2 linked regions of the Daphnia pulex genome follow. The protein of the gene in region 1 interacts with the protein of each later gene in a biochemical or structural test. Links are inferred from orthologs where the notes say so. Each region holds a gene or a part of one and is shown in the gene's direction. Other genes may lie near its edges.

The links.
Region 2: the proteins of probable citrate synthase 2, mitochondrial (region 1) and alpha-crystallin A chain-like form a complex in vitro, tested with the Homo sapiens proteins (3 studies listed by BioGRID). The link is inferred for Daphnia pulex from reciprocal best matches to the Homo sapiens genes CS and CRYAB.

The regions. Positions count from the first base shown.
Region 1 is NC_060018.1:6,453,869-6,458,403, reverse strand, and holds probable citrate synthase 2, mitochondrial, read left to right. Parts: upstream 1-1,452; 5' UTR 1,453-1,604; coding exon 1,605-1,652; intron 1,653-1,870; coding exon 1,871-2,020; intron 2,021-2,081; coding exon 2,082-2,279; intron 2,280-2,332; coding exon 2,333-2,521; intron 2,522-2,588; coding exon 2,589-2,788; intron 2,789-2,858; coding exon 2,859-2,962; intron 2,963-3,028; coding exon 3,029-3,561; 3' UTR 3,562-3,877; downstream 3,878-4,535. Other genes in the region: uncharacterized protein LOC124189052, read right to left, coding at 1-287, 347-835. UniProt on the Homo sapiens protein: Key enzyme of the Krebs tricarboxylic acid cycle which catalyzes the synthesis of citrate from acetyl coenzyme A and oxaloacetate.
Region 2 is NC_060026.1:2,241,383-2,244,852, forward strand, and holds alpha-crystallin A chain-like, read left to right. Parts: upstream 1-1,658; 5' UTR 1,659-1,810; intron 1,811-1,875; 5' UTR 1,876-1,882; coding exon 1,883-2,089; intron 2,090-2,171; coding exon 2,172-2,247; intron 2,248-2,313; coding exon 2,314-2,359; intron 2,360-2,420; coding exon 2,421-2,530; intron 2,531-2,592; coding exon 2,593-2,675; 3' UTR 2,676-2,830; downstream 2,831-3,470. Other genes in the region: alpha-crystallin A chain-like, read right to left, coding at 694-819, 886-1,119, 1,186-1,389. UniProt on the Homo sapiens protein: May contribute to the transparency and refractive index of the lens. Has chaperone-like activity, preventing aggregation of various proteins under a wide range of stress conditions.

The DNA.
Region 1 (4,535 bases):
AAATTATTATTGCCTGGAATCTGATGTTGGATAAATGGATTGATTTGAAACTGACAACACTGATCATGAAAGGAAGATTCAGGTAGGATAGGAGTTTTAGAAATAACCATACAATCAATAAAATCTTTCAAAGCAATTTCAGGATCCCTATATCGCATTTGTGGAGCATTCTTTTCTGCTAGATTGTGAAGCCTTGTTTCATCTTGATCCACAAGCTGTTCCACATTAAATGAAATAGGCTGAAGGCGAGAAAAAATTTGCCTGGATGGATTCAAAACTGTTGAAACCTATACAACATCCAAAGATTATAGGTTTTCTTTAGAAAATAAATCATAAAAAAGAATACCTTTGAGTTTAATAATTTCTGCATTTTTTTATCCTTTTCAACTTTGTGGCTGAGTAAATTCCGAGTTTCAATCTCCAAATTCTTCAGTGTTTCAAGGTTTTTCATAAGGACAACAGAACTTTGAAATATCGGTTGGTTTAATTTTTGCTGGTGTGTTGCAGTGGTTGAATAGCTGCATAATGTTGAATTGTATGTTTTAGGTATCCCAACAGCTTGGATTCTTTGAAGTATGTCCACATGAGATGTTTCATTTTCAATTACCACAATAGGAGAGTTTATTTTACTTTTGGCGTTTGAAGTGTTGAGAATTTCAACGTGAGAACGTTTCTTGACAGACGAGAACCTTTTTTTGGTGTCAGATGAAAATAATTTGTTTTTACCGACTTTGTCTAGTGGAACTGTTCCGTTTGCACCTTTTTTCAACACTTTTACGGTCCCAGAGTTTCTTAGCTGTTGAGAAGAATCCTTCGATGGACGAGACCGCTCCATCTCACAATAGTGATCTTATAGATGAATATGTAGTTTCCAAAATAGAAATCCAATAAACAACAACCACTAGCAGAGTTTCATAACTATATAACTGCTCTGCAGATATTTAAAATTGTTAATGAAAAATTACAACGAACACTACGTTGTCAGACGGTTAATTTATATCATATTACTTGTGAAATATAAATGAATGAGAACTTCAAAGAAAGGTGGAAAAAATCGCAACGAAAAATATCATAAAAGGATTTTTTCTGGCTTACCACTCTTTTTATCTCTGGATCACAAATTTAAAACGGATTTTTCGACCATTTGGCAACGGACAATTACAAGAACATCGTCTGTTTCTACTTCAAAAGGCCCGATGGCGATCTTTGCTTTCATTTCTAGGGATCTGTTAGCGCCTCTACTGTGCTCAGGTTAAATAATAAAACCTTCCGAAATATAAATCAAGAGAATATAATAAATTTGGATTCCATAAACCTTACACATTCAAGAGAAATAGGAAATATCTATAAAAAGGAGTAAGCAACAAAACGGTAGCCGAATTTTGCCAAATATTTGCAATGTACAAGAGATGGCGCTCTATAAATCTCAGAGCATTAAAAAGCAACTGGAGGCATTTACACTAGATTATCTAAGTTACAGACACACGATTCACGAAGATCTGGTGACCTCGTAAAAGCTCCATATTTGCGGATCACGGTTTCGGTCACTTTACCCAGCTTTATTAACTTTCGTCATTGCTAGTTAAACTGCATCTCTTGTTGACATGGCTCTGTTTCGCACATTATCTTTGCGGTTAAGCTCCCCTCCTCAGGTAAAATATAATTGGTATAAGTGAAAAAATCCTCGACGTCTTACTTCTGTTCGAAACAAATTTCCGCCTTTCTAGGATCCATTTCTTTAAATATTGCAAAAATTCTTTCCATGTCTTTTTTTAATTAGCACTTTTGTTTCAAATGGTGCCTCTAATATATATAGTTGTATAAATATTGGTATTCTCATTATGTAACACATTTTATAATTATCCTGCAGGGCTCTATTTCTACCATTGTAAGAGCATTCTCTGATCATACTGATCTGAAGGATGTTCTTAACAATAAAATCCCTTATGAACAGGAACGTGTCAAGAAGTTCCGTAAAGAACATGGCAATGTAAAAATTGGTGAAATTACAGTGGATATGGTGGGTTACACATATGAACAAATCACATGATGAATCATAAATAACCCACAAAAAAAACTAGGCATATGGAGGTATGCGCAGCATGAAAGGTTTGGTCACAGAAACATCTGTCCTAGATCCTGAAGAGGGAATCCGCTTCAGGGGATTATCTATTCCAGAATGCCAACGTATGCTACCTAAAGCTAAAGGCGGGGAAGAACCTCTACCTGAAGGTTTATTCTGGCTTTTGATTACTGGAGATGTTCCAAATGAAGCCCAAGTAATATCTGATGGATATATCACTTGTATGTTTTACCTAACTATTTTTCTTAGGTGAAAAGCTTGTCTAAAGAATGGGCAAGCCGTGCTGATCTTCCATCTCATGTTGTGACCATGCTCAATAATTTCCCAGCCAACCTTCATCCAATGTCACAGTTCAGTGCAGCAATCACTGCCCTGAACAGTGAATCCAAATTTGCCAAAGCTTACTCTGAGGGACTTCACAAATCTAAATATTGGGAGGTAGGTGACCATTAATATTACATGTTTTTAAACACACGATATCAATCGATTGATGTGACCGTTATAGTACGTCTACGAAGATTCTATGGATTTGATTGCCAAACTTCCTACTGTCGCTGCCACAATCTATCGTAATTTATATCGCGATGGATCTTCGATTGGAGCGATCGATACCAAAAAAGATTGGTCAGCTAATTTCGCATCCATGTTAGGATACACCGACCCTCAGTTTACCGAACTGTTGCGACTTTATCTAACTATTCACAGGTAATGCCGTCTTGGCATTATAATTAAGTCAAGTTTAATTGGCGTTACTATTTTTTAAATGTTTTTGTAGTGATCACGAAGGAGGAAACGTTTCGGCACATACAGTCCATCTGATAGGATCTGCTTTATCAGATCCATACTTGTCATTTGCTGGCGGTATGAATGGATTAGCAGGTATTCTAATTTAGCACGGTTTATATGTAGTGAGGTCCAAATTAAAATGTTGTTGTTGTTTACCAGGACCTCTTCACGGACTGGCCAATCAAGAAGTTTTGGTGTTCTTAAACAAAATTACAGCTGCTTTGGGAGATGGGTGGACTAAAGAGGGTTTGGTCCAGCTCATTAAACAGCAGCTTGCTTCTGGACAAGTAGTACCTGGGTATGGCCATGCTGTGTTGCGCAAAACTGACCCGCGTTACACTTGTCAGCGTGAATTTGCTCTCAAGCATTTGCCCGACGACAAGATGTTCAAGCTTGTTGCCCAGCTATACGAAATTGTCCCAGATATCCTTCTGCAAACAGGAAAGGTCAAGAATCCTTGGCCAAACGTTGACGCCCATTCTGGTGTTTTGCTGCAGCATTACGGCATGTCTGAAATGAGCTATTACACCGTACTATTCGGTGTATCTCGAGCACTCGGTGTGCTGGCATCTTTGGTTTGGGATCGTGCGTTGGGTCTCCCACTCGAGCGACCCAAATCCATGTCAACTGATGGACTTATGAAATTAGTTAAATCCCTCCAATCCCAAGCCAATGCGGCAAAAGGAGCGTAATAATTTTGACGAACTGATAGTAATATACAACCTTACTACATGTTAAAGAATCAAACTTTTACTTTGTTTTCGTGTTGACTGTAAGTCGAATCCGTGTTAGATTATTCCTGAGTGTGCGACACCATCTCCTGGAATTTTTTCAATGCAAACCTAAATAGAATTTCTTAATAACGGCGACTTAACTGGAACAAGGGATTGGTACAAACACGTTTCGATGGTGTCACCTGTCATAGTAGTAATGAGAAGTTGATCGTCTGTAAAACCCTAAAGTAATAGTTGTAATACCCACAATAATAAACGTTTTCACTGGATGTAACTACACCGAAGAATTTTTGATTGATTTTGTGTTTCAAAATTTTATTTCAACTTCAGCGCTACTTTTTCGTCTTCTCCAACTGCTACAAGCCCAACACCCACCCACCCACCTCCCAAAAAGAAAAAGCTTGCATTAAGTTAATGAGAACATGTTTTCCCGGCAACTTCAAGATATTATTTGTTACCTGTATTGACATCACCGGTTTTGGGCGTTATGCACAAATATGGCTGGTTTGGAAATGCTGTATCTAAAAAGTTGTTTCTTTTCAGTTTTTTTCTTTCTTTTAATAAAGCTATTGCGCAATGACGAAATATTCTAAATTTAATTCTATTTTTTATGTTATTTTCTAAACAAAAGAAAATATTTTTTTCTCGTTTTTTTTCTGTAGCTACCTACGTTCATTCTTTTCATTGGTTCATATTGATGAAAGTGATTGAAAAATTGTAAATGGACGGTTACCACTATCAAGTTCTTAAATATTCCACTAGGGCGCTGCCGATTTCTAGTACTAGGCTACTAGCTGTATGGCTGCCCCAGTTAAGGATTTCTTCTGTTCTCAGCTCACTTCGTAACAGATTTTATGGTTTAGGTTGATCGATAGTCGATTGAATTTCTCTTCGAAGGATAAATTCTTAACGCAACAGTTTCAATAAAGTGC
Region 2 (3,470 bases), on another chromosome or scaffold:
AATGTCTGGACACATCCACACACGCTGAACCATAAACCATTTGATAACGAAACCACACCAGTCAGATAATTAATGCAAGTCGATACATGAAATGGTTTGTGGTTTCAAGAAATGTTAATATATAAAACAGCATGTTCTGGCGAGTGTACCATGGTTTCTTCACATTCTCTAAAAAACTACAAATTGACGTTTCGTGTGTGGAAATTGTAGTCTGCAATCTGGGATGACTCGGTTTGGCATTTGCCAGATTGCGAAAATGAGTCGAAAATTGATTCGAATCGAATTAAACCGGATATTTAACCGGATTAAATAAGATTTTGGCCAAACTGGATTTGCAACATCCAACCAGATGTTATTAATCATCTAATTTCCAATATTCTTGTGGCTGATAGCGTCGAATTATCTGTCATAAAATTTTCTCTCGAATTTTCTCTTCGGCCTTGTGAAATGGAAAAAAATACGCCAACGATGAGTTATTTAAATATCAGCGTTACAAAAGTTGTTTCAAAAATGACATTCTTTATTCTCATTTCTCAGAAGCAGATGCAAGCCCTACGACGAGACTCCAATAATTTTCAACACAATAACAAGCACACATTTCTTGATTAAAATCTTAACGATTCCAAACGAATCACAACACGCTTCGACGATTCAAAAAGCCTTCAAAGATGGGAATCCATTTTCCAATCTGCTTTAGTTTTTGCCGGCCTCACGACTCACGGGAATGTTGACATTTCCCTTCTGCGTCTCCTGCCCGGATTTCACGGACTGCTGGGATGTAGGCGGAAGCTGCTTCACTTCAATTTCACGCTCCTTCTCCTGGTAAAAATACATCCACACAACATTTTAAAACACGAATTTAAAAAATATTCTATTGCCACCAACCGGTTCAACCGCCTTCTTCTGAGCGCAAACCACCAGAGTTCCGTCGTCCGACAAAGTGGCATTCAGATTCTCAAAATCCGCGTTACGAGGGAGAATGTAACTGCGTTTGATGTTGCGCGAGATGTGGCCATGCTCGTCGGGCTTTTCTTTGTGTTCGGCGTGAATCACGAGATTGCGATCAACCAGCTTGACGTTGATCTCGTCGGACTTGAAATCTCCCAGGTGAAGAGTCACCTTCATAAACACAATAGAATTAAATATGGAAATGAATAAGAGCGATATAACGGTTGGGAATTTTACCTGATACTTGTTCTCGTCGCTGACGACTTCCCTGATTGGTGAACGACGCCGGGTGCCGGTGGGAGCGAAGTCAATTGCTGACAAAACCGAAGGAAGAGACGATTCCATCCAACGAGTCAGCGGGTCCTGGCGATAAACGGCCCAAGGATCTCTAGGCCAGCCCATGCCCATATCAAAGAAAGGATCGATGTTCCAGAGAGCCATGATTTCGAACTGGAAAAAGTTGGAGAGAACACGTCAAAGAATTGGCAACGTAAATTTCTCGACTGAGGCTCGGAACGGTTTGTCCAAGGGCTTATATAGGTTAGCTATCGATTCCTAGAAGGTTCTCTACTCAGCCATTCAAACGTTGATTTTCGAGGTAAATGATTAGTAAATGAAGTGGAACTTATACTTGGTAATTGGTATTTTGTTAAAGATAATTTTCTAACGATGGCAATACGATTTATTAGTCTAACGATTACTAGTGACAAATGCTTTTTAGTTTTTACCATTCGTGCAGTTAAAAAAAAACGTTGCAATCTCGTCTACAGCGACAAGTATAAAACGATTCCCAATTTGTCCAGCAAATTATTGCAGAGCCGTTCGCTGTTGGTGATTGATCTCCCCCATCTTCCAATTATTTGTATTTTTAGCCGTTATGTTTTTTACTTCATGTTTTAATTATTCATTTTGATTAAATGTTTTTAGGCTTATCATGTCTCTCCTACCTTTTAACGATCCCTTCGACAGCATGATGGATCCATTCAATCAGCTCACTCAGTTCGAGCCGATGCAAACATTGGATCCTTTCTTGAACCGATTCAACATTGTTCCGCGGTCAATGAGGAGATCGATGCGTCACATGGATCGTGAACTTGGAAAACTTTTATCCAGCGTCAAGGAAGACGACAAATCGTTTCAGGTATATAGTCAAATTGTTTGTTATTAATTTGAGTGTGTGGGTGTGTCTGTGCTCTGTGAACTAAAAATTGTTTATTATTCAGGTGATGGTCGATGTTTCGCATTTCCAGCCAAACGAGATCTCTGTGAAGACGACCGACAATAACATCATTGTCCACGGTGAGTCTAATTATCAATTACATTTCCTTTAATGTGAGCTATAAAATGGGTGATTATTTTTTTTAGCCAAGCATGAGGAACGCAAGGATCAATTCTCACACGTCTCGCGGGAGTAAGTTATTATTTCATTAGGTGTAATTTAATCTTAAAAGCTAAATATTTTTCTTAATTAGATTTCGTCGTCGTGTTACCATTCCCCAAGGCGTAAATCCCGAGACGGTGACGTCCACTATGTCGCCCGAAGGAATTTTGACCATTATGGCTCCAAAAATTATGCTTGAAGGCAATTTCAAAATTAAACTTTTTATCGTGCAGAAGTCTAATTTTTGGATTGTAATTCCTCAGGTTCTAAAGAACGAGTCATCCCAATTACCATGACTCAGACTGCTGGATCAACTAATCCTCCGACTCCAATCCAAGGAAATTAGGACGTTGGCGCGTTTGTTGTCAAAAGAAAAAAGAATCGTCTATTTTCATTTTTCCTTTTCGAAAAAAAGTTGCAGTTATATAGGTGTGATGGGTATGGGTGATTGTGTTTGTTGATATATGTTGTTCGGCTTAAAATACAGATTTCAATAACTAATTGTAATTTAATATTTCATGTTAGAAGCGTTCATGAATACAAACCTTAGCTAACGAGAAAATCAGATATAATTTCAGCTCGAAAAATTTTGACATGATTATACATTTTGTTTCCATTTCACAAGAAAACAATAGATACTATACAGTACATATAGTAAAAAATGTCCATTTCTTCGATGAACAAAAGAAAAAGTATGGAGATAGAAAGATACCATGGCATCGAATATGGTGGGTAAACTTACTTTACTCACTTCCAAGAGTCGTCGACTACGGCTTTAACCCGGGACATGAAATCCCGGGTCACTGCCCGGGTTGAAGCGTAAAAACCCCAAAAGTGTGGCATTTTTTTACCGAACGGGCTCAAGGATGTCCGGCCAATCCGAGCGGTGGCGCCATCTAGTAGTCGTATGAGAAGCTCGTTATGCAATAACGGCTGGGTTCGTTAAATGACAATCGCAAATCAGTGTCGCACGATTTTCAGGGTTGCCATACTTTTATTTTGTTTATGCTCACAATTCCAAGCTGTAAGACAAAAATGAGAGAAACTGTTTCATCCTCCTTTGTTATTGCTGGAATATTATTGCGCCTTTGTACTTTCACACAAAGAAGGTAGAGTTGCCAAATTGGTTTTAAGTCTTCGA